Arabidopsis thaliana: one gene and its partners. The protein of the gene in region 1 interacts with the protein of each later gene in a pairwise test. Each region holds a gene or a part of one and is shown in the gene's direction. Other genes may lie near its edges. The genes, in order: AT2G43420, NRT2.3, AT2G41610 and AT5G11870.

The links.
Region 2: the proteins of AT2G43420 (region 1) and NRT2.3 interact in a protein complementation assay, tested with the Arabidopsis thaliana proteins (one large-scale study listed by BioGRID).
Region 3: the proteins of AT2G43420 (region 1) and AT2G41610 interact in a protein complementation assay, tested with the Arabidopsis thaliana proteins (one large-scale study listed by BioGRID).
Region 4: the proteins of AT2G43420 (region 1) and AT5G11870 interact in a protein complementation assay, tested with the Arabidopsis thaliana proteins (one large-scale study listed by BioGRID).

What each region holds. Positions count from the first base shown.
Region 1 is NC_003071.7:18,029,962-18,037,716, reverse strand, and holds AT2G43420 (3-beta hydroxysteroid dehydrogenase/isomerase family protein), read left to right. Parts: upstream 1-2,534; 5' UTR 2,535-2,780; coding exon 2,781-3,027; intron 3,028-3,177; coding exon 3,178-3,267; intron 3,268-3,344; coding exon 3,345-3,478; intron 3,479-3,564; coding exon 3,565-3,735; intron 3,736-3,877; coding exon 3,878-3,994; intron 3,995-4,089; coding exon 4,090-4,169; intron 4,170-4,574; coding exon 4,575-4,767; intron 4,768-4,855; coding exon 4,856-4,958; intron 4,959-5,326; coding exon 5,327-5,501; intron 5,502-5,656; coding exon 5,657-5,813; intron 5,814-5,893; coding exon 5,894-5,960; intron 5,961-6,072; coding exon 6,073-6,224; 3' UTR 6,225-6,449; downstream 6,450-7,755. Other genes in the region: GLX2-1 (glyoxalase 2-1), read left to right, coding at 96-278, 376-579, 883-1,006, 1,251-1,351, 1,670-1,744, 1,817-1,915, 2,002-2,148; FPA (RNA binding protein), read left to right, coding at 6,728-6,997.
Region 2 is NC_003076.8:24,448,269-24,454,189, forward strand, and holds NRT2.3 (nitrate transporter 2.3), read left to right. Parts: upstream 1-2,476; 5' UTR 2,477-2,570; coding exon 2,571-3,401; intron 3,402-3,598; coding exon 3,599-3,714; intron 3,715-3,815; coding exon 3,816-4,488; 3' UTR 4,489-4,696; downstream 4,697-5,921. Other genes in the region: ABCF1 (ABC transporter family protein), read right to left, coding at 5,492-5,921. UniProt on the Arabidopsis thaliana protein: Involved in high-affinity nitrate transport. Acts as a dual component transporter with NTR3.1.
Region 3 is NC_003071.7:17,344,821-17,349,418, forward strand, and holds AT2G41610 (uncharacterized protein), read left to right. Parts: upstream 1-2,336; 5' UTR 2,337-2,360; coding exon 2,361-3,293; 3' UTR 3,294-3,419; downstream 3,420-4,598. Other genes in the region: AT2G41600 (Mitochondrial glycoprotein family protein), read right to left, coding at 777-948, 1,173-1,510, 1,768-1,950.
Region 4 is NC_003076.8:3,822,872-3,828,558, forward strand, and holds AT5G11870 (Alkaline phytoceramidase (aPHC)), read left to right. Parts: upstream 1-2,548; 5' UTR 2,549-2,848; coding exon 2,849-3,008; intron 3,009-3,117; coding exon 3,118-3,217; intron 3,218-3,287; coding exon 3,288-3,408; intron 3,409-3,781; coding exon 3,782-3,903; intron 3,904-4,006; coding exon 4,007-4,128; intron 4,129-4,206; coding exon 4,207-4,366; coding exon of another isoform or gene 4,367-4,370; exon of another isoform or gene 4,371-4,464; coding exon 4,465-4,492; 3' UTR 4,493-4,702; downstream 4,703-5,687. Other genes in the region: SSP5 (SCP1-like small phosphatase 5), read right to left, coding at 1-35, 167-524; AT5G11880 (Pyridoxal-dependent decarboxylase family protein), read right to left, coding at 4,935-5,015, 5,113-5,202, 5,277-5,399, 5,496-5,681.

The sequences.
Region 1 (7,755 bases):
TTTTTTGTCAACTGTGTTTAGTAGTCTTTGTTTGGCTATCTTATAGTACTATTTTGTGTCAGATTATGATTTGTTGATTGAATTTCATGAAACAGATTGGAGGTCAGCTTTGTGTGTGGCCTGGTTTGAGACAACTTTGCCTCAGGAAAAGCTTATTATACGGAGTAATGTGGTTATTATCCATGCCACTGAAAACATTGCGTGGAGCTAGAAAAACTCTTAAGATTACTCACTTTTGTAGCATTTCCAACATGCCATCCTCATTAAAAATCGAACTGGTTAGTATGCTTTTCATCTTGAATCTACTGGTTGAAACAACTCTGTAACAATCTGCTGAAGATATTATTAACGATCTATTTTACTGAGATGTTTCAGGTGCCCTGCAGTAAGGACAACTATGCTTATCTGTTGCACGATGAAGACACCGGAACAGTTGGAGTCGTTGATCCTTCTGAGGCTGCACCTGTTATAGAAGCATTGAGCAGGAAGAATTGGAATTTAACTTACATTTTGAATACTCATCATCATGATGATCACATTGGGGGGAATGCTGAATTGAAAGAAAGGTATGGCGCAAAGGTAAGAGGATACTATTTTCTGTTTAAAACTGTATGACCTTGTTTCTTGTGTTGTTTCTGCTCTTTGCGCAAGTTAGCCCTCTTTTTATTTTGTTTCCTTGGAGTGTCTCTTGCCTCTGATAGCTGTGAAACATTGAGCTCTACAATACAATGGTTTGGTTTTGAGATGTCGTAAAGTATTAGTCTTACCAGAAAAAATGGTTTTTTGGACCTTTTTGTTTTGCACCTTTGTCGAGTTGTTCTTTTCGTTTTTGCTTCTTTTATATATACTCAAGTGTTTTTATGTGACTTATGTTGCCGACAGGTGATTGGATCAGCTGTAGATAAAGATCGGATTCCTGGAATTGACATACTTCTGAAGGATAGTGATAAGTGGATGTTTGCTGGCCATGAGGTTCGGATACTTGACACTCCTGGCCATACACAAGGTTTGTAGCTGCCATAACCTCTACTGTAAAATACTAAGAACACATCTATACAGTCAAATATTGCCAACGTTAGAAACCTTTGGTGGATCACATATTAGTATCTTATTTGTCATTCTAATTTGTTATCCTCAATACATTACTGTGTAACTGCTCTCCTTTTTTATCGTTCTAGTGTAGTACAACTAGTAATTAATGTATACTTGGTGCCATGTTTTATCACTTAACTGTACTTATTCTCAAGCAGGCCATATTAGCTTCTACTTTCCCGGGTCAGCGACAATATTCACAGGAGACCTGATATATAGCTTATCCTGTGGTACCCTTTCAGAAGGTACCCCTGAGCAGGTAACATCAATTTCAAAAAGCAATATTTCAACCTTCTCGACCCTTGCACTGTTATGATTATTTTCTTGTGGCAAAAATTGTGCCAAGTGATTTGTGGTTTTCTAAATCATGTTTCTTTTTCAACCTTCATATCTTTTTACTGTTATGGTTACTTTCTTGTGGCAAACTGTGCTGAGTCAAATGGTATAGACTTTATGGAGAGATCACTTGGGACTTGGGAGTACTCTAATAACCGTACATTGTAGTTTCTTTCACAGAAGCAAACTTATTGTGCTCTGTCCTTTTTAACGAGAAAACCTTTTTTGCCTTATGACTCAGATGCTTTCATCACTCCAAAAGATCGTGTCTCTACCAGACGATACAAATATATACTGCGGCCGTGAAAACACAGCAGTAAGTTCCACGCACATAAATACTCTTAATTCACATTGTTCAACTCTCTTTTATATCTCCTCCATGATACAGGGCAATCTCAAGTTTGCTCTATCCGTAGAACCAAAGAATGAAACTCTTCAGTCCTATGCAACTCGAGTCGCCCATCTTCGCAGCCAGGGGCTCCCATCGGTAAAACCTCTTATCTCTTCCCTATCTCCTCTTTCTCTCTAAACCTCTCTCTAGATTTCATTTACTTACGGATTTGTTGTCTGTAGATTCCAACGACTGTCAAGGTTGAGAAAGCGTGTAACCCATTCCTCAGAATATCGAGCAAAGATATCCGAAAATCTTTAAGCATTCCAGACTCAGCAACCGAAGCTGAAGCATTGCGTCGTATACAGAGAGCCAGAGATCGTTTCTGAAAACTTGGGTATATTTTCTTATTTGTATAGAAAAATTTGCAAGTCAATCATCAGCTGCAAAGATCAATATTTTATATGTTTTGGGCTTTCTTCAGTTATCATTTGAAGTTGTGTATTCAACACAAAAAAATCTAAATATTTAGTTTAAACTCAATTATTAAATTATGAGATTTTCAAGTGTAATGAATGCTTCAACATACATACACAAGTGTATAGATAGATACGGTTTAGTTTCTCTCTACAAGTGCTTACCAAATTTCTAACAATGGAAATCATATGTTTGGTGGATTGATGGAATTGGCTCACCAAACGTGAAAACGCAACCGTGCGTCTACGATTTAATATTAGCTTTACTAGATTTGTTTGTAACCAAGGAATAATTATACAGATAATTTACATAAATTAAGTCAAATCCATAGATTTATGGCAAAAAAGTGTGAATATTAAATTATAATTACACAGCCGAAGAATAAAGGAAAACGCTAAAAGGTTGCGCGAGTGGAGAGTCTGCCCGCCAAGCAACCCCTAGTATTCAGCTTTTTGTGCACTGATCCAACTCGACTCGGCCTTTTTCTCTGAGTTGACTCGACCGAGAAAAGGCGATAGAGCTGGGGTTTAATTCGGCGATAACAATGGACGAAGATTCCGTCCATGGCGATTCTCACCTCAAGACATGTGTCGTCCTCGGCGGACGAGGGTTCATTGGTCGATCGCTTGTCTCCAGATTGCTTCGTCTCGGAAACTGGACAGTCCGAGTCGCAGATTCCGGTCACACTCTCCATCTTGATGAATCCGATTCGCTCCTCGAGGATGCTCTCTCCTCCGGCCGCGCTTCTTATCACTGCGTCGATGTTCGTGATAAACCTCAGATCGTTAAAGGTTTTCCTCTTATTTCCTGTTGCACTTTGTTAGATATGACATTGATGGATCGGTTTTTGGTATCTAGAAAATGCTATGGGGGAGTGTTTGGCTATTTGAGATTTTCGGGTTCTGATTTGAGTTTTGGTGTGACTGTTTTGTTCCTTGCAGTTACCGAGGGTTCCTATGTTGTATTTTACATGGGAGCTACTGATTTACGTTCCCATGATTACTTTGACTGCTACAAGGTTATAGTTCAAGGTAAAGTTCTTAGTCACTTCAAGATGGTTTACCATTATATTAGTTAAACTTGGGTGGTTAATCGATTTCTCGTATAGGTACAAGAAATGTGATTTCTGCCTGTCGTGAATCTGGAGTCAGAAAACTTATCTACAACAGTACAGCTGATGTTGTTTTTGATGGTTCCCAACCTATACGTGATGGTGATGAATCCTTGAGACGTCCTTTGAAGGTAATCCTTGAGCATGTTTGTTTAGTTGGTTTTTGTCGTTGGTCTTTTTCAGAGATGATATCTGTTTTGCTCTGATTCTCTTGCAGTTCCAATCTATGTTGACAGACTTCAAAGCTCAAGCAGAAGCGTTGATCAAATTGGCTAACAACCGAGATGGTCTCTTAACTTGTGCACTTCGCTCTAGCATTGTATTTGGACCTGGTGACACAGAGTTTGTACCTTTTTTGGTGAATCTAGCCAAGTCCGGATATGCAAAGGTCTTACTATTAGTTCATCCCATTGTTGCGTTTTTGCGTCTACGTTTATTATCTTATTATACCTGGTAGTATTCCTTGAGCTTGATGCATTCTTAGTTTTCCTTTTTTGGAGGAATGACTGTCTTAGTTTTTAAAATTTCAGTTTATACTCGGGAGTGGTGAAAATATCTCTGATTTCACTTACTCGGAGAACGTTTCTCATGCACATATTTGCGCCGTTAAAGCATTAGATTCACAGATGGAGTTTGTGGCTGGAAAGGTAACCTCTTTGAGTCAAAGTGTATTTGCCAAATCACTCCTGAAAGCGCATGAACTTTATATGTGATGAATTTTTACTGTGCCGACTTTATGTAGGAATTTTTTATCACAAACCTCAAGCCGGTCAGATTTTGGGACTTTGTAAGCCATATAGTTGAAGGTCTGGGATACCCAAGGTAAATAAGCATCCGAACAGTTTTTGATACAATGAAACTTGCTGTGAACTCCTTTTATCTTTCTGTTTCCTGATTATCAATGTAGCATGGGAAAAAGGCTCCTCAGAACTTCTGAACCTACCTTGAATGTTCCCTTCTTAAAGCAAAAGATCTTAATTTTCTGTTGATAGATGTCCTGGAGACATGTCTAGAAGAACCGTTTCGAGAACAGCCATATTCAATTAGTTTTTTTAGATATAAACTATCTATACATGGTGATTCGCTGATATTTAGTATTTTATACATGGTCGTATATGTTTCCTTCTCCTATGTCTTAAATATTGATCATTTTGAAAAGTTTTAGATCCTTAGAGCTAACTTTCTGGTTTACCTGTTTTGATATTTTTTTTTCCTCTTTAATTGCAGACCATCCATTAAACTTCCTGTTCGGCTGGTTTTGTATGTTTTCTCACTTCTTAAGTGGACACATGAAAAGGAGGGCCTTGGGAGTAATTATGACACAGCACATCAGTATGCTCTGTTAGCTTCATCAACGAGAACTTTTAACTGCAATGCAGCTAAGAAGCATCTTGGTTACACACCTGTTGTGACACTTGAAGTGAGTTTGTTGGATAGTATTTTGGCTTTTTGCATATTCAGCTGCTTAGTACCTTCCTTGGATTTATTAGCTCTTGTTGGATTTGTAGGATGGTATTGCATCAACGCTTCAATGGTTCTCTCGGGATCTTGAGAAGTCTGATGACACAATCATTCAATCTACTGCAGATCAGCTTCTTGGTTGTGGGAAAGGTTAGAACCATCTCGCTATTAACAATTATAATGCCTTTTTGAAGTGTTCTTGGCTAAGTATTCAGTTGTATTGCTTGAAGTCCGCATCTCATCTAGCTATGGATATGATGATGCATGTTCACAAGGCTTAACCTGGAAAGAATCTATCTCTATTTTCAACTTAGATTTGTTTGCTTCTAGATGTCTAGAACATGCTGAAGTATCTGCTTGGTTAATTTACATCTTCTTCCAGTCCATGTAATTTCATGCGAGTTCCAACTTTATTTCATGCACATATAAACAAACTCAAAGCGAATCTGGTCAATGCAAGCTTTTAATATTAATCTCTTTAAACTGACTTAGCTTTTCATCTCTATGTTCTCATGCAGTTGCAGACATCTTGCTGTGGAGAAATGAGAAGAAAACCTTCGTTTCTTTTCTTGTCCTAAACTTGTTTTATTACTGGTTCTTCTTTTCTGGAAACACATTTACTTCATCTGCAGCCCAACTTCTGTTTATATTTGCTGTTGCTCTCTATGGAGTCTCTTTTGTGCCGTCAAAGATGTAAGTATTGGTTCCAGAACTTTACCATTATAGAAGGCAGTGAAAATAAGTTGTGATACCAAAATTGTCCTATCAAAGGATGATGCACCCATGTATATATATTTCACCTTTGAAATCTATATGCAACTAAGTGACAGATTGATTTATTTTGACAGTTTCGGGTTTCAAGTCAACAAAATACCCCCATGGAGATTTGAGATCTCCGAATCCGCTGTGAGAGATCTTAGTAGTGATATCGTAGTTGTCTGGAATCAAGGAGTTCGCAGTTTTAAATCCTTAAGCAGTGGAGGAGACTGGATCAAGTTCTTCAAGGTACAATTCTACTCTTTATGCTCACCAAACATGAAAAATATCTCATTGCTCTCGTTTCCTAAAACAAAACATAAAAACAGATTGCAGGATCACTGTATCTCCTCAAACTGATTGTATCCCGTTCATTGGCAGCATTTCTTTTCACAGGTACTCGAACAAAGCTTTTGTTTTCACACTTCATAAACATGATTAACAACTTCATAAACATGATTAACAACTTCTTTATCCATAACATTTTCTCTACGCTTTGCTTGGACAGTTATGTCGTTCTCATTCACCGGTTTCTTCATCTACGAGCAATACGAGCTTGAGCTCTACCACCTAGCCCGGATATTCGTCGAATGCTTAACATTTATTAAAAGGATGGTGATACCTGTTTCTGATGCTTCATCTAAACCAATGTTCATGTGAAGCTTCCAAAGTCCTCCACTAAACGAACACCAACAATCCCAGAGACTAATTGCAGTTATTAGATGTCTTATGTACAAACATTATGCTATCAGGATGTAATCTTCACTGAGAGGGGATGGATATATGATTATTTACGAATTTGCCATAACTACTATCAAAATGCACCGTTTTGATCCGGTTTCCAAAAAAAAAAGAAAAAAAAGGAAAGTATCCTTATATATCCTTTAAAAGCCGCCGCTTCGATATTCCCTGGCCTCTCTTTCTCTCACAATCTAATCTTCTTCGTCTTCAAACTCAATCTAGGGTTCTCTTCTCCTCTCTGTAGGTAGGATTTTGAACACCCAAATCTCTCATCGAATTTTTCTTGCTCAACGTATCATCGCACAATTCGTCTCTCGTTTTCCGTCACGTGGATAATCGAAATCTCATAATCCCAAAGGTAAAACAATCAATTCTGGGATTGGAATTTTGGATCCATAGGATCGTCAATTGAAACAATCCCGATGGCGTTATCTATGAAGCCATTCAGAGCCGATGATTCCGGTTTCCAGTCAAACAATCTTTGGGTCGGTAGCCTAACGCCGGAGACGACAGAGTCAGATCTGACCGAGTTGTTTGGAAGATACGGCGATATTGATAGAATCACGGTGTATTCTTCACGAGGCTTTGCGTTTATATACTACAGACATGTGGAGGAAGCAGTCGCAGCCAAAGAGGCTCTTCAAGGAGCAAATTTGAATGGAAGTCAAATTAAGATCGAATACGCACGACCGGTTTGTTCTTATCTATATCTTCGTTTGTTCTCTAACTTTGATTGTCTTTTGTCAACGATTATACTCTTTTTGCGAATTCATAGTCCAGGTTCACAAAACTTTGATGATGCTTGTTTAGTCCAAAAATTTCTTGTTGAATCTGTTTTTTTTTTCCTCATCGTACAAATCAAAGTCGAAACCTAGTTTTTTTCTATTATACGTCGTTAGCTTAAGGCGAAACCTGATCCGATCGAAACGTCTTTTCTCAAATTACTTTGGTTATATCGAACTCGCGCAAAGCCAAACCACAGAGAAGCTCTGCAAAATTTGATGTTAAAGCATATATAACTCTTAGCGAATGAGCTCTGCAAAAGAATACATCAAACACATGTTTACTCTCGTTTATGCGAAGAAGGTTTAATCCGATTGTCGTTTATCTGCAAACTTGTATCCGCGTTTAGCAGTCTGATTTCAGGTTCGCTTCAGATGTTAAATCTCACAAGCTTGAGTATGAATGTATTGCGTACTCCACTCGAAATTCGCAATGGTGAAAATTTGGAAGCGAGCAAACTCTATCATCGGCCAAACAGATAAGAAATTTTGGAGTTTAAAAGTTCAGTTTCCTGCAAAAATCAAACCGCGTGGAGAAATTTGTCTATGGCGGTACGTAGATATCAATAACTGCATCTGCGAAACAGAAAATTCTGGCAACCGTATCGTCCTAACTCCTAGTATCGCTGGCACATATCCATATCAGTGTGAGGGAGTTTTGGGCTTGT
Region 2 (5,921 bases), on another chromosome or scaffold:
TCACTTCAAAAGCCCGTATCTACGAAATCCAAACCAAATTGAAAAATCCAATCTAAAAACTTATCTGAATCTTTTTATCTGTCGAATTCGTTGTAATTTTCCCTATATCAAACAAATTACAACCTGAACCGGGCGAACAAAAAAGGAAAAGACAAAAACTGAAATATTTTTTTTGTATAGCTTTTTGCTAGTGCTAACGTTAAGAAATTCTCAACATTGTTTGTTTTGTCTGTTAAAGTTTTTTTTATATACAAGGAGTTCCACTAAATAGTATTATGAATAATAGATAATTAAGTTTTAATTATGGTAATTTGATGAAGAACTAGACTCTATTTGCATTGTAGTTTTACGTATACATGAAAAGTAGAAGTCTACCAAGTTGAGCAATAAACATTCTATAAACTTGAGAAGTCAATGAGCCAATAACTCCTGTAATGAAAAATAGTTAGAGACAATTTTTTTTGTTTGACCTTTCCACAATTTTCGATTCTTAACCTATAAACATTGGACTTTTTTAGTTGCCTTCCCCTACATGTAAAAACAATATATATATACATTTTTGCAGCCATTTTGTGAAATAAATTCTAGAGTTGGAACTTATTTACAATGGCTGCCACTGGATTTTAATGTTTGTTTTTGATAATTAGAAAAAAAATCTTCAAATTAAATATTTGACATTTAACAATCTTCCCTAAATCTCTCCACATTAACTACACGGTTAGTTACTAAAATTAAACTTCCAAAATATTTAATATCATTTAATTACTACACAATTATCATTTTTGATATTGTTTTTCTCCATGACTATAACAATTCGATTATAATCATCAAACCGTAGAGATATTTGATAGCATTTAATTACTACAAAATTATAAAATATTTAGACAATAATTCATAAAAATATCATAAATAAGATCAATATTAATAAAATAAATGGTTTTTTTACGGGACGGGTTGGCGGGACGGGTTTGGCAGGACGTTACTTAATAACAATTGTAAACTATAAAATAAAAATATTTTATAGATAAATACAATTTGCAAAGTTTTATGTATAGTAACTTTAAAAAATAAATTGTTTCCGCGGTGTACCGCGGGTTAAAATCTAGTATATATATATAGAACTAAAACCATTACAAAAAGAAAAGATTTCGCCTTTTTAATGATGGATAATTCTAAAGCCTATAAGACTTAAACTTTTATTTAAAATCTACAGTTTGTTGCCCAAATAAAATGTGATAAGTATAGAGATAACAAAATATAAAATTATTTCTTACCAAAAAAAAATATATATATATATATATAAGACTATTTTACCGTAATTTATTGATGATTGCAGACAATACAAGATATCTCTAGTTTACAAAAATATCATCAACAATATTCGAGAGAATAGTTCTTTTGAGTATTTGCGGATGGCCGGAAACAACAACACTTAGAAATCATATTTAGTAAAGAATTATGTTTAGAGTTTAGACTTTATAGCTTATATATTATATTGAGATGATAGATGATTATAAGGAAAAACATAAGGAAGTCAACTTATCATAACGCTTCATTGTAAGGATATGCGAATATCAAAGGCGGAAAGATTTAGAATAAGTGAATAACCCATAATTTCATAAACGTTAGAGCATTTTTTTAGGAAATTATTTTAAGATAGCAATTATTTCATTTGGTGAGTCGACCACATGGAATCCTCAAGAGACAAATGAAAAATAATTAGACTTTTTGACGATTTTTGCCTTCATTGATACGTACGGCCTCTTAGGCTTTTTAGCTATTTCCAATGCCAACTGTCAACATTCGTATCTCTTTCGCCATTTTAGTGAAATTCCACAAAGTCATTATCTTTGATGTATATAACTTGCCAGGCTGCTACTATACCAAATAGATTTATAAATATTATTTTTAGATTTCTTTTCCATACTTTTTAATTCTCAAACGAAACTTTATGCAAAGTTGAAATAAAGTTTTCTTCTGCATTTCACTTAAAATTATAATTTGTCAAACAGAAGTGCAAACATTGATTTTCTGACTGAAAATTTTTCAACCTTACAAAAGTTGCTTGAACTTTGTTTAGAAAAAAGAAAATACTAATACTTGATAAACCCTCACGGTTCCTATTTTAAAACCAAAACCTTCAAATCAAAGACTCAAGAATCAATTCATAAATGTGTGAGACAAAACTCATAACCCAAATATGGTACACGTACGTATGAAACGTACTTAAATGCTACAAAAGAATAATATGTTTAGTTCTCAAATTTAAATAATTTTTTCCTTCTATCATTACTAATCAAAATTACAACTCATATCTATACTAAATGCTATTATCAGCTAACAATAATAAAATTTTCACAAATTGGTAAAGTCCTTATTAACTTTTACTTATCTTATTCAAATCTCATTATTGGACCCACCTAACCCTACCCACCATATGATATTGGTATCCCCTCTGGCCTCTATATAAACTTTGCATTTCTCTAATCTCCAACTTACACCAACAAAACACAACAAAGACCATTAGCCTTCTCTCCCACTCAGAGTCTTTCATCTCACTCTCGCCTTAAATGACTCACAACCATTCTAATGAAGAAGGCTCCATTGGAACCTCCTTGCATGGAGTTACAGCAAGAGAACAAGTCTTCTCTTTCTCCGTCGATGCTTCGTCTCAAACAGTCCAATCAGACGATCCAACAGCTAAATTCGCCCTTCCGGTTGATTCCGAACATCGAGCCAAAGTGTTCAACCCACTCTCTTTTGCTAAACCTCACATGAGAGCCTTCCACTTAGGATGGCTCTCATTCTTCACATGCTTCATCTCCACCTTCGCGGCAGCACCATTAGTCCCCATCATCCGCGACAACCTCGACCTCACTAAAACCGACATTGGAAACGCCGGAGTCGCATCCGTCTCTGGTGCCATTTTCTCAAGGTTAGCCATGGGAGCGGTTTGTGATCTCCTCGGTGCACGATATGGGACTGCCTTCTCCCTCATGCTAACCGCCCCAACCGTCTTCTCAATGTCGTTTGTGGGTGGCCCTAGCGGATACTTAGGCGTCCGGTTCATGATCGGATTCTGTCTCGCCACGTTTGTATCATGCCAGTATTGGACCAGCGTTATGTTCAACGGTAAGATCATAGGACTAGTGAACGGCTGTGCAGGCGGGTGGGGTGATATGGGCGGTGGAGTGACTCAACTCCTAATGCCGATGGTCTTCCACGTCATCAAACTTGCCGGAGCCACTCCGTTCATGGCCTGGCGGATAGCTTTCTTCGTTCCCGGATTTCTTCAAGTTGTTATGGGCATTCTCGTCCTCAGTCTCGGCCAAGATCTCCCTGACGGTAACCTAAGTACCCTTCAGAAGAGTGGTCAAGTCTCTAAAGACAAATTCTCCAAGGTACTTTTCTATATATATATATTTCTGTCTCATCTTCAAATATATAACAAATCCAGACCAAGAAGAATATGGCTCTCATTAAAAGAATCTTGCAAACATTAAACATACTCATGAAGTTTTGCAATAAATTCGTGAAGAACTATTTCGTTTATTTAGTTAAATAAATTTCTAGTGTCTAAAGGTTTTTCTTGTTATAGGTTTTCTGGTTTGCTGTGAAGAACTACAGAACATGGATTTTATTCGTTCTTTATGGATCTTCCATGGGAATTGAATTAACTATCAACAACGTTATCTCCGGATATTTTTACGACAGGTTCGATTTCTTATTCGTTAAAACCCAACTGATGAACTTACTTACTTCTGTCACAAGGTAATAACCTTAATTTGTTTTCTTGTTCTCTACGTATTTATCAGGTTTAACCTTAAGCTTCAAACAGCTGGTATAGTAGCAGCCAGCTTTGGAATGGCTAACTTCATCGCCCGTCCCTTCGGTGGTTACGCTTCTGATGTAGCGGCTCGGGTTTTTGGCATGAGAGGCCGGTTATGGACCTTATGGATCTTTCAAACCGTAGGAGCTCTTTTCTGTATCTGGCTAGGTCGAGCTAGTTCACTTCCCATAGCAATCCTAGCAATGATGCTCTTCTCAATCGGTACACAAGCAGCTTGCGGAGCCCTCTTCGGAGTTGCACCTTTTGTCTCGCGCCGCTCTCTAGGGCTCATATCGGGACTAACCGGCGCAGGAGGAAACTTCGGGTCCGGTTTGACTCAACTGCTTTTCTTCTCATCAGCGAGGTTTAGTACAGCTGAGGGACTCTCATTGATGGGCGTTATGGCGGTTTTGTGCACACTCCCAGTTGCGTTTATACATTTTCCGCAATGGGGAAGCATGTTTTTAAGACCGTCGACCGATGGAGAAAGATCACAGGAGGAATATTATTACGGTTCTGAGTGGACGGAGAATGAGAAACAACAAGGATTGCACGAAGGAAGCATCAAATTTGCAGAGAATAGTAGGTCAGAGAGAGGCCGGAAAGTAGCTTTGGCTAACATTCCAACGCCGGAGAACGGAACTCCAAGTCATGTTTGAAGACAAAACTTACAAGAGATTTTCCTTTTACATTAAATCCCTTTTTAATAGTTTCATACTCCACTCATATATGTACCGAGTAAGACCTTTTCTGTGATAGGTAAGGATCGATGAGCTTGGTACTTTAGTATAAATTATTGTAATGTCATCAGAATGTTCAACTACTCTTTTTTCTGCACCAATAAGCTTTATGTTCAATCAGATTTACATGTCAAGTGAAAAAAACAAAAAAAGTCTCTGTTTACGGTGTGTGAAATGCTAAGAGAGTCCACATGAAGAAAACTTTATGGACAAGGACCACGGAAGAAGCAATTGAATGAGTGATCTTTACATCACAGAAACGGATCTCATCGAAAGAATGTAAGAAGAGTATGAGAAAATAATAAACTACATAGATTTTCGAAATATTGATTCAGAAGATTAATATGTTATTTTTTTCCACTCACACTACTCATTTTACAAGAGATACTCCAGAGATTTTATGTGCAACTCTGTAATTTGATTCAAGATTCCTTCACTGGAATCAACATAAAGATGGAATATCTGAGTCACCTTTCCAACGAATATTCGAATATAATTATGAGAATATTCGAATATAATTATGAGAATATTCCCACTTTAATATTAAATATAATACCATAATCGTCAACATCTCAGTCTTTAAAAAAACAGAAAAAAAAAATCCTACAATACCACCAAAAAATATTACTTTTCTCTCTGTTTCGCCTTCAAAAAAACGTTCAACAACAATAACGAAAAAAAAAGAAGGTGCACATGATAATGATAATACTAATATAGAAAGAATCTCTGACCTCTTAAGGAAATGCAGAGATTAGTGAGTATGGTTTCTCTGTCTCTCAAGTGTGTGGCTTTAGAACTCGTTAAAAACCATTCCCAAACCCATCAAAAAAACCAAAGCCTTCCCTCTCTCTCTCTTAGCATGTGACCCCAATCTGAGTCTTTTCCATTTTCCATCAAGAGAAGAAGACTCGACTCTCTATCTTCAATCTTCAAGTCCGGCTTTAGCCTTAAGGTGCCTCTTGAAGTCCATAATGTCACCATTCCATTTAGTGATGCATTGTTTCTCGCAAACCCATATCTCATGAGCCACTTGGTTGATCAACCTGAAGTCGTGACTAACCAGAACCAAACCACCATCCCACTCATTCAATGCCTCAGCAAGCGAGTCGATTGTCTCGATATCCAAATGGTTAGTAGGCTCATCAAGAAGAAGCATGTTAGGCTGCTTATAAGCTAACCACGCAAAGATCACTCTGCTCCTTTGTCCGTCAGATAGATTCTTCATTGGCATCACTTGAGCCTTACCAGTTAGACCAAACCTACCAATCGCAGCTCTCATTTTCTCCTCTTCAGTACCCGGGAACTCCCTCATCATGTAGAGAAGTGCAGGCAATTCCAAGTCTAGCTTCTCA
Region 3 (4,598 bases), 690 kb from region 1:
TATAATAGATGAGTATGGTTTTTGGTTAGGACATACTCCTACTTATCTTTAAATTCAGCATTGTCTTAGTTTATGTTTCAGTTTGGAATAGGCTTGTTGCCTTTTATGTTTAAGTGGAAAGTCCACTGATCAACTTTTTGTAAGAACTTAAAATGTTATCAATGAAAAGATATCAGTTCAGAGAGAAAAAAAAAAAAAAAGATACCTCAAGATCTATGCTTTTTTTATCGTTTTCCTATGATGTTATGTCACGTTAACACTATAGTATTCACACAATAACTGATTTATCTTTTCCAGAATAATTTTACTAACATAAGTTCTTTTTAGTGTTAAGTGATGCTTGCTTGACGCTGCGTGCTCCGAATTTTTGTTCTCTCTCATTTGCCTTTTTTTTGTTCGTAAATTTTTTTTTATTGCATTTTCTCACTTTTTAGTCCTTTCGGAGAAAGATCAAAAGACATTATAGGTCAAGTATTGATTTACAAAGATAAATACATGAATGAGGGTGGTTATGTAGATGTCGATTACTACTCACTATCTCATGACTAATCATCTTGAAAGATCAAAGATCAAACCAAGCTTGCTTGAAAATTCAAAAGCATACGATTTGGGGTCCCATTTGTTGGAAATATTACAGTTAACATGTATTCGTCGATACATCTTCCCTCAAAACATCCATTGCAAGGACTCTCTTAGCTAATAATACTACTCCTAAGGCATTTTACCATTGTTCCAAAAACAAAACTTGAAAAGAAATGAGCTTATGGAGTAAACACTCACGGCTTTGGAGAATGTGACATAGTTGATTCAAGCCTGCGTAACCAGTTAACGTATTGATCCTGCTCCTTCTTGTTCAGGTGACACAAAAGGAAATTAGTTAAGCCTTCACTGACCCCCTTAGATATTAGGTATTGCTCCAGTGCACTGTGTAGTTTGGGATCTACTTGGCTAAAGAAACAAAGAAAATAACACTGGTCATTGAAATCAAACATATGCAGACACATGAACCTCTAATAGTCTACTTCTTTTTCAATATATATAGAACAATTACTCCAGGGAAAGAACAATGGGAAGTGTACCCAATGCTTTGAGGTTTGGATGAAGTAAAACAGATATGATTCAAGTAACTTAAACAAAATGTTGAGAGATTATCATTTATGAGCTTACTTCACCTGAAAAAATGGTCTCCATAAGTGGAAGAAGGAGCAGAAACAAAAGAGCGGATAAAGTAGGCGCTCTCGATGTCGAAATGAGAAGATCCAGATCCTGATTCGTAAACCCGGCAATGAAACTGCAAGATAGAGCTGAGACCAGGCTTTTTGATACAAACTTTGGCATGAGCTTCCCTAGGAAACACTAAATCATCTTCTAGTTCTATAGGTTCTGGTTGCAATAAAGCAGAGACCACAACCTTCTCGCCTGAATCAAACTGTCTCTTCAGAACAATATCTTGGCTTTCCGGTGAATCCCAATCCAATTTGAAATCTCCTAGAGAACCGGTCTCAACGCCCTGTGGGGTTCAAGCACAAAGCAAAATCATAAAGGTAGAATGTAAGTACTTAAAATCCTAGGGTTTATGAGATCCAACATCAAATTCAAATTCGCCCATCTGGTAAATCACTCTAATGTTCATCAATTCAGAAAAATGAAATTGAAACTGACAGAGTCTGATCGAACTAATGTTGAGCACCATTGATCTTAAAACTCAATTGAGAGATTACTGAGAGCAACGAAGAAGAAGAAGGAAAGAGGAAGACAACAATTTACCTGGAAACGAGGATGGGAGATTTCGTGACGAATTTCACTTTGGAGGATCTTCAACAAATCACCATTTTCAATAGCCTTCAAGCCTCGTTTCAGAAGCGGATTCAACTTCCTCATCTCTCTCTTTTCCCTAAAATTGGCTTCTCTCAATCTACGGAGCACAAAAACTAAAGTAGACTGAATCATGATCCGGTTCGGTTTAATTCGGTTTATTTCCGTAGCAATTTCAGTAGACCGGAATTTAAACGGTTAAACCGAATTCTCAGTTACGTAATCATGCAATTTAACAATTACACAGAACCAATCAATCATCAGCTGCACACCAAACTTTTATTTCCCTTGAAGATCAAGGCTTCTCTCAATACATAGTTTCATTCAAAGGGTGATTTTTTGTATTAATAAACAAAAAATGAAGATAGAATTCAGATTTCAGATAGAGTTTCATTATCCATTTTAGTTCAAGCATCTATAACCAGACAATGAAAGAGAATCAACCATATGATGATGTCACGTCACACACACTCCTTATAAACTATATGTGTAGCTTCTAAGGAAACCAAAAACATATAGATCAAAACAAAAAAAACAAACAAATTATGAATTCAGAATGGGAAATGGATTCTGATAGAAAGAAAACATTTTTCAAATGCACAAAGTGGCAATTCGAGGACACACTTGATCCTATTAACTGTCCTTTCCACTATTTCTGCGACAGCATCTATGCCGGCGACTACCCTCAAATCACCGACGTTCTAGTTTTCTTCTTCGTTACGGTTACTTATTTGACGACGCTAATTGTTGTCGTAAGGAAGGTAATATCAAGAAGAAGAAGAGAAAATGATGATGATGGTGATGATGACAAAGCAAGAAGGTACTTACTTCCTTCTGGTCCAATCTCTCTTCCTTTGATCATCTTGATTCTTGCAAAAGGTCAAAGGATCAATACCCTTTTCCCAATTTCCATCTTTGGACCTGCGATACTACAGCTTGTTCAGCTCTCAGTGCTTTTATTTGAGAACAATATCGAAAAAGAAGCGAGTTTTGTCTTCTTCGAAGCCTCTACTATCTCTGGTATTCTCCACGCTAGTCTTTACTTAGACGCTGTGATTCTCCCCTATTATACAGGATTCGATGCTCTGGTCACATCTACTTTCTCTGGAGTCTGCAAGTCTTGTATATGCAGGAAAGAGCCATTAATAGTGGGAGGGAAGATTGTCTCTTACCGAGGATGGTCTAGTACAACGTTCTTGGTGGTTGGTGTTTTGTTTTTGAGGATTATATGCAAGTTATGCAAAGAAGAAGGAATAAATAAAAGAGTTTTGGTGGTTAAAAATGTTGTGCAAGGACTGACATTGCTTGTTCTTATAAGAGATTGTGTGTACTTGGCCGTTATGTCTCCTGTTGAAGAGCCTATCTTGTTTAGGGTTTTTGTGTTTGGTTTTCTTCTTCTGTTGATATGTGTTTATGTAATCACAAAAGTATGTTGTTTGGTTAGTCGGAGACAGAGTAAGAAGACATCAGACACATGAAATTTGAAACAAAAAGGAAAAATCAGAGGCAAGATGAAGTAAATGTAAATGATTGCTTAATGATGAGTTTATATTGGATGTGATGATGAAATGGTAAAACTTAAACATTACTTCTATATCTATTTATATTTATCCTTATTGTAAATAGTTAAATCAAAACAGTGAGAAGTAGTAGTGTCAAGATGACGCAAGATAGTGGTTACAGTTTTAAACAAGAAGAAATAGAAAAGTGGTGTAACACTTGCTAATTTGCTAGATATTCCATTAGGAAATTGCTTTTGAAAGCCTTCTGAGTTGGTTCATCACTTTACCCGAACAAAAAAATGACTTTTTACTTCTACTAGGCATAAATAAGTCTTGGCTTTTTAATTCAATATATTGGTTATGTTAATGTTGAACAAGATTATATTACAGCTAGTATATATACTGCGATGCAATGTTAAATTTTAGATTTAAACTTTGTTAAAGAAGATTAACCTTAAGAAAATAAAATTCCTAGATTTATAAATATATGACTAACCATACATACATACATATTCAAGTTCAGAAGTCATAGAATTATATCAATAATTAGGTGGTACCACTGTACTATCTTGTATTGTTATTTGTAGCATTGGATAGTTTTACGAAGTTTGTACTTATACATAATGATTAATGAGATCGTCGATCTCTGGTATGCTATTCCGATGACTAATTTATCCCCAAGAACCTACGAACAGAGATTATTGTTACATGAGTTCTCATTGATCATGGGTGTACTTTTATTGATATTAATTGATGAGATTCTAGATCGAACCTCACTTAAACATAAAACATACGAGAAGAAGAGATTCGTGATCCGTAGTAGCTCTGCTTATTCAGATATGACCACACCAATAGAGATGATAAGGACCCAAAAGCATGTACTTACCGAATTACTATGGCTATTGTAAACTTATGCTTAAATCCACGTAGAATTCAACCATAAGCCGGCGTAAAGTAGGTTTAGGTAAACTATAAATGATTAGTCTAAATTTTTAATTTTTTTTTTGTCAATCAATGATTAGTCTACATAAAAAAATATTTCTAGCCCTAACAATTTGCTCAAACACTAATAATATATAGAAGGTTTTGTTAATCAAGTACGCAAGTGAATTTTTGTGCGAAATTAGTTTTTATTTTATTATTATGATTTATACCAGAAACAACTTTATAAGCAAAAATGCACTCAAAGTACTTCACCGAGAGTATGGTGAAGGATCTAGTAAGAAGAGCACTAAGAGAAATTTATATTGGTGTGATATGGAGAGTCTGGATTCTCCTGAT
Region 4 (5,687 bases), on another chromosome or scaffold:
ACCACACGGCTCTAGAGTCGAGTGCACAAGAGTTTCTGCAAAATAAAACATATATGTTATAGTAGCCTTAAAACCTGGTGAGAAAAAACTAAGATTTGTGTGCCATTAAAACCTGCAAAGAGAGATACAATTTTAAACAAACGAATCAACTGAAAAGTAGCCTTACCATCAAGGTCTAGGACAAGAGAAATAGGAGGACAGCTTCGGGTTTGTTTAGGAAGCAAGACCGGCCTGAAAGTTGGGACAACAGAAGACAGGTTCGGCAAGTTCTTGATAAACAGATAAGGATCAAACTCATCGAGCTCCTCATCCTCTTCATCCTCCATGCATACCGAAGTAATAAGGGAATCTTGACCACGCTCGTCAACACATTCCAGCTTAGAGCTCTTCATCGCTAGATAAATGGCAGAAACCGAATCCAAGTTACAATTTGGATCTACGGTACTTGTATCTAGAGCAAGCAATCGATCATAAGGGTTCTGTGCATCCAAATCCCGAGAAGAAGGAGAGTCATCATCTTCCATTAAAACCCTATTAACATCAACTTGTAACTGAATTAGACAACAGAACTCAGAGCCTAATGCAACTACTCCACAATTTCAATATCTGACCATTATTCACATTCATACCCAAACACTACTATAAATCTACAAGTACAAGGTTCAATGATAAAGTTTTCAAATTTACCTTGTAGAAACTCTCTTCACTCCTGTAGCTACCGACAAAGCAGAGACACCGGAGATAGATCAGTTCCCGAGAGCCGTCAAATTACAAACAACTAGCTCATACACTATCTGAGAACGAAAACAGATCTTGGATTAGAAAAGGAGCAAAGCCCTAGATACAATTCACAAAGAAGGAACCAAAACAAAAAAGTACCCAGATTTAAAATATTTGAAAGATAAAAACTTTGGAGCCAAAAGAAGCAAAATTCGAAAACTTTTCATCGCGGAAAGTGACAGAAATCAATATTTTAAGAAAGAGAACCGAACCGGAACTGAAACCCACGAAATCGATTTCAGATAATTTTCAATTTTGATATATATATCTAGGGCTTTTAATACGAAAAAAGGGGGGAAAAAAGACATGTGGAAAAATCAAAGCTTTTTACTGGGATAAACGATGGATAAATCTAATCTTTCCGCTTTCTCCGCAAATTTCTCTGCAAATTTCAAAATTTCTTCAACGAAGCGCACACCTAGATTAAACTTCAGTAGCCCAGAAATTCGAGCTGAGATTGAAGAGCTAAGAAGAAGAAACGGAGAGGGAGAGAGAGAAAAAAGAAAACCCTAGAGAGAGTATATTCGTCGGAAAAAAGTACCTCCGATCAAAAACGATTTCTTCTAGCTTCCGTCTTCTTCTCTCTCTCTCTTCGAAATAAAAGAGTAAAATATTTGCTCGAAATGAATGACAGACGACTATAGTCTACATAAGCAATGAAATATTTCATTTAAATGCCCTCATACTTTATTAATATTTCATTAGTAACCTCGATAGTTTTTGATTTGTTAAACTAAACCCCAAACATTCGAAGAGTATTAGGCCGGTAAATGATGACGTCATCTCCGGTTGGAGGATAGTACAACGATGCCGTAGAGAACTAGAGAAGTGTCTTTTTCTTAAAAAGGAACCTTCTGTTTTTTACAAATTGAACATGCATGTTATGGATTATTGGAATAAAAAAAACGTTTTGAAGACTTTTGAATATTTTCTTTGAAAAATGAAATTATACAAGATTATGTGACTTGATTAGATTTGATGTTACAAGTTAAGTTGGTTTAGAATAATCTTTGTTTAGTACTACTATATATAGGATGATCTATTTTTCATTGGTTATAGCTAGAATGCTATATAGAATTGTGGAATGTTGTTTCATGTCATGATTATGCAGATTTATTACCAAACACATAAAAGATTAAGAGGTATGACATGAATGACGTGTTCTGCTGATTATGTTTACGACGAAATCCAAATAAAAGACAATTTGATCCAACACAAACTGAAAAACACTCAACCTGCCAATATTATTCAAAGAAATGAACAACATCAAACTTGTATTCAAGCATGGCACAATGGATGATTCAGAGAGGACATGATGGCTTAAAACAACATTGATATATTTACGTTCCCAATTTGAGCTTTAGAATATATGTTTGTAATTTGAGAATACATATGATTGTTTCATCTTCTTCCCCATCTTTCTCTTATACTCTTTCGTTTTCTTGAATACTTTGTAGCATAAAGAGCATTTAGACTCTTAGTTCATTCTCTTTTGAACTTTGTCTCATGTTAATCCCATTTTTGTTTTTGTTTCATACATGGCTATCTATGTGGGTTACTTCTAAGAACTACAACAACACATCAAGGATATATAATTTAGCAATTTTCTTAGTTAACTTTTCCTTCTCCTAGAAACACTAACCAGGAAACAGTTAACTAAAACCACTCCCGCCAAGTTTTGAAACGTTGTACATATATATAGGAGTGAAAATATTACTTTCAGAAACATGGGGTGGGATATATATAAGATATAAAAATGTAAGGGGTTACTTTACAAATAAAATAGAATAGAAACAAAACGTAGACGTTTAGAGCGGTCCTCGTCAACTACGACAACATTAGAGATCGATCGTCGTCGTCGTACCCGTCAGACTCAAGGAAAAAGAAAAAAAGAGATTCCGCCGCACGTTGTTCTAATCGAAAAAAGCGACTCTCAATAAATCTGTCTTCCCTTTTCTTTCTTAAACTGGAAGAAGATTAATCAATCAGACACAACAGAGATAACTGATTTATCCACTTCAAACAATACAAACCTTTAAAGTCTTCACCTTTATAGAGAGAACTTTTAATGGTGTGGTTGACGAATCAACAGATAGGGAGATGGAAAAGGAAACGAATTTTGGTTGTGGGATCGTTCCTCTGTTGGTCAATCATCATGTTCATCACTCCCAAAGTTCCTCTCGATTCATTTCGCCATCATATCTTCGCCGATAAACGCAATTTCATGGGTATCATCATCATATCACACTCTCTCTTCTTTTTTTTTTATCTCTCTCTGTCTCTGTGCATGTGTAATAACGAGAGACAGGTGTTTTGTGTGGGTTTGATGATGAACAGGAGTGCCTAATACATTGAATGTGATGACCAACTTTCCCTTTCTTATCGTTGGAGTTCTTGGTTTTGTTCTTTGCATTGGAGGAAGCTTCTTCAACATAAGGTATCATTCTCTTTCCCTTTTTTGAGTTTTATTTTGAGTTAGTTTAACAATTTGAGTTGTTGTAATGCAGTTTAAATGGTGAGATCTGGGGATGGACACTGTTCTACGCAGGCATTGCAAGCTTGGCTTTTGGTTCTGCTTTTTATCATCTCAAACCTGATGACAACAGAATCGTCTGGGACACTTTGCCTGTTCGTTTTTCTCACTTTACTTTTCTTCGGAACATGAATCTTCTTTCAGTTATGCATTCATTGCTTCTTGATTAGTGATGCGGTAATTGTATATATTGACAAGCACATTGTGAATACAAAAAGTTGAAGAATCATCTTATAGCTATGTAAAAAAGCTTAGATTAGACTTCATGGTTTTTCTTGGATTGGTTGGTTCTACAAGCACATAGTGAAGTGAACACAACTCTTATAGCTAATGGAAAGAAGCTTTAGAGATTTTTCGGGTGTAGAGTTGTGGTTTTTGGTTTTATTGAATGGAAAGTTGTTTTTGCTCATCATTTTTGATGGTTGGTTTATGAATAGCTGTTTGTTGATTAATGACGGTAAATTGCAGATATTGATTGCGTATTCGTCGCTTTTCTCTAGTTTTTTGGTTGAGAGAGCGGGGGAGAAAGTGGGACTTAGTTGCCTCATCTTGCTTCTATTTATATCATGTCTCAGTGTTGCTTACGCCAGGTAACATTAAAACCAAGAAAGCATTACCTCCTCTGTATACATATATGTTCATGGTTTTAGTCAGGTTTCGGATTGAAATTATATGTGTCTTAGTTGATGGCAGAGTGTTTAATGATCTCCGGTTATGCATGACGTTCCAGTTGATACCGTGTCTGGTGATTCCCGTCATGGCGGTTTTGTTACCTCCCAAATATACACACTCTAGATTCTGGCTCTGGGCAACAGGTTTTTAACTCAAAACCACATTTGCGGTTTTCTTATTAGAATCCACGGTCTTCTGATATCTGCTTATCATGAATGCAGCGGCGTACACTATTGCCAAGATTGAAGGACTTGCAGACAACAAAATATACAATGCAAATCGATATATCATCAGTGGGCATTCACTGGAGCATTTGTGTTCTGCCGTGGCTACGCTTTTACTTACCATTATGCTTTTGTATAGAAGCATTCGGTTTAATAGGTAACGTTTTTTCACTGACTCTTTCTCTTTGATCTTTGAGTTCCTTGAAACCTGAGAGGATTTTTCACTTTTCTTTTGTATGATGGAAACTAAAACAGATTAGGTGATCTCAAAGGCCGTCCTTGACATTCATTACTGACTCCTCAAGTTTTTTTTCTCTTGTATTTAGATGCTTCTGGATTCTTGTATTACAAATTTTGTTTGGTTGCTAGATAGATTTTGACCCATGATCCCACTAAAACATCGTTAGCTTGGTGTAATCTTGGTTTCTGGTTCTGAAACAGCTTTGGCTTTAAGGTTACTTATTCAAGTCTTATATATGTGTTTGGACAATGGACAATTTTACATGTAGTAACTAAAAAGAAACCAAAAGAATAATCATAACTCACAAATACACCTTTTATTTTCGGTCTTGACTTGTGACCTGTTTCTTATTCATATGATCACTTTATTGAGGACTTTAAATCATAGCACAGAATGTGGAAAAATCCAAGACAGCAATAGCATTATAGAAACGTAATCATACAATTCATCTAAAATAGCAACAATGATGAGTAAATCTCGGAGTTCATAGTCCTTCAAAGAAACGTAAATGGTCATCGAATGTCTCAGCATGCCTGATCTTAGTGATCGACCCATCTTCTTCAACCTGCAAAAAGAAGAATATAAATCAATCACTTTCTCTCAGGATCTTGACCCTCCGCTAAATTTCCGCAGAAAACGATAATAAGAAACAGTATTGTTACCCAGTATTCCGGGGGACGCATCTTGAGATTGTAAGTGGAAGCCATACTCATACAGTATGCACCAGCGTCATGAACCACCAGACCAGCTCCCTGTAACGTATACAAGAAACTAATTAGATTCCATATTACTTGAGCTGCCAAACATAATCAGATCCTTATAATACCTGTGGAGGAGTGGGAAGCTCTCTGTCTTTGCCCAAGAAATCAGCAGATTCACAAACAGGACCCACTACATCGAATTTGGTAACCTCTGCTTCAGGCGGTGTAGGAGAGACCAACTCAATATGCTTTTGCGTTAAAAAACAAAAACAAGAGGATGTTTAGCTATAGTTCAAAGGGACTAGAATCTGCAGATGCTGTTGTGAAAAGTATATTTGTTTTACCTGATAGGCATCATAAAGACTGGGACGGATAAGCTCAGCCATACTTCCATCAATCACTATGAAGTTTTTAGTTCCATTCGTCTTCACACCAGTTACATGGTTGACGAAACAACATGTGTTTGCAATCAGTGATCTCCCTGGCTCGATTATTAGATTCAGGTCTCGTGAAAGAACCAGCTCTCTTACCTATGA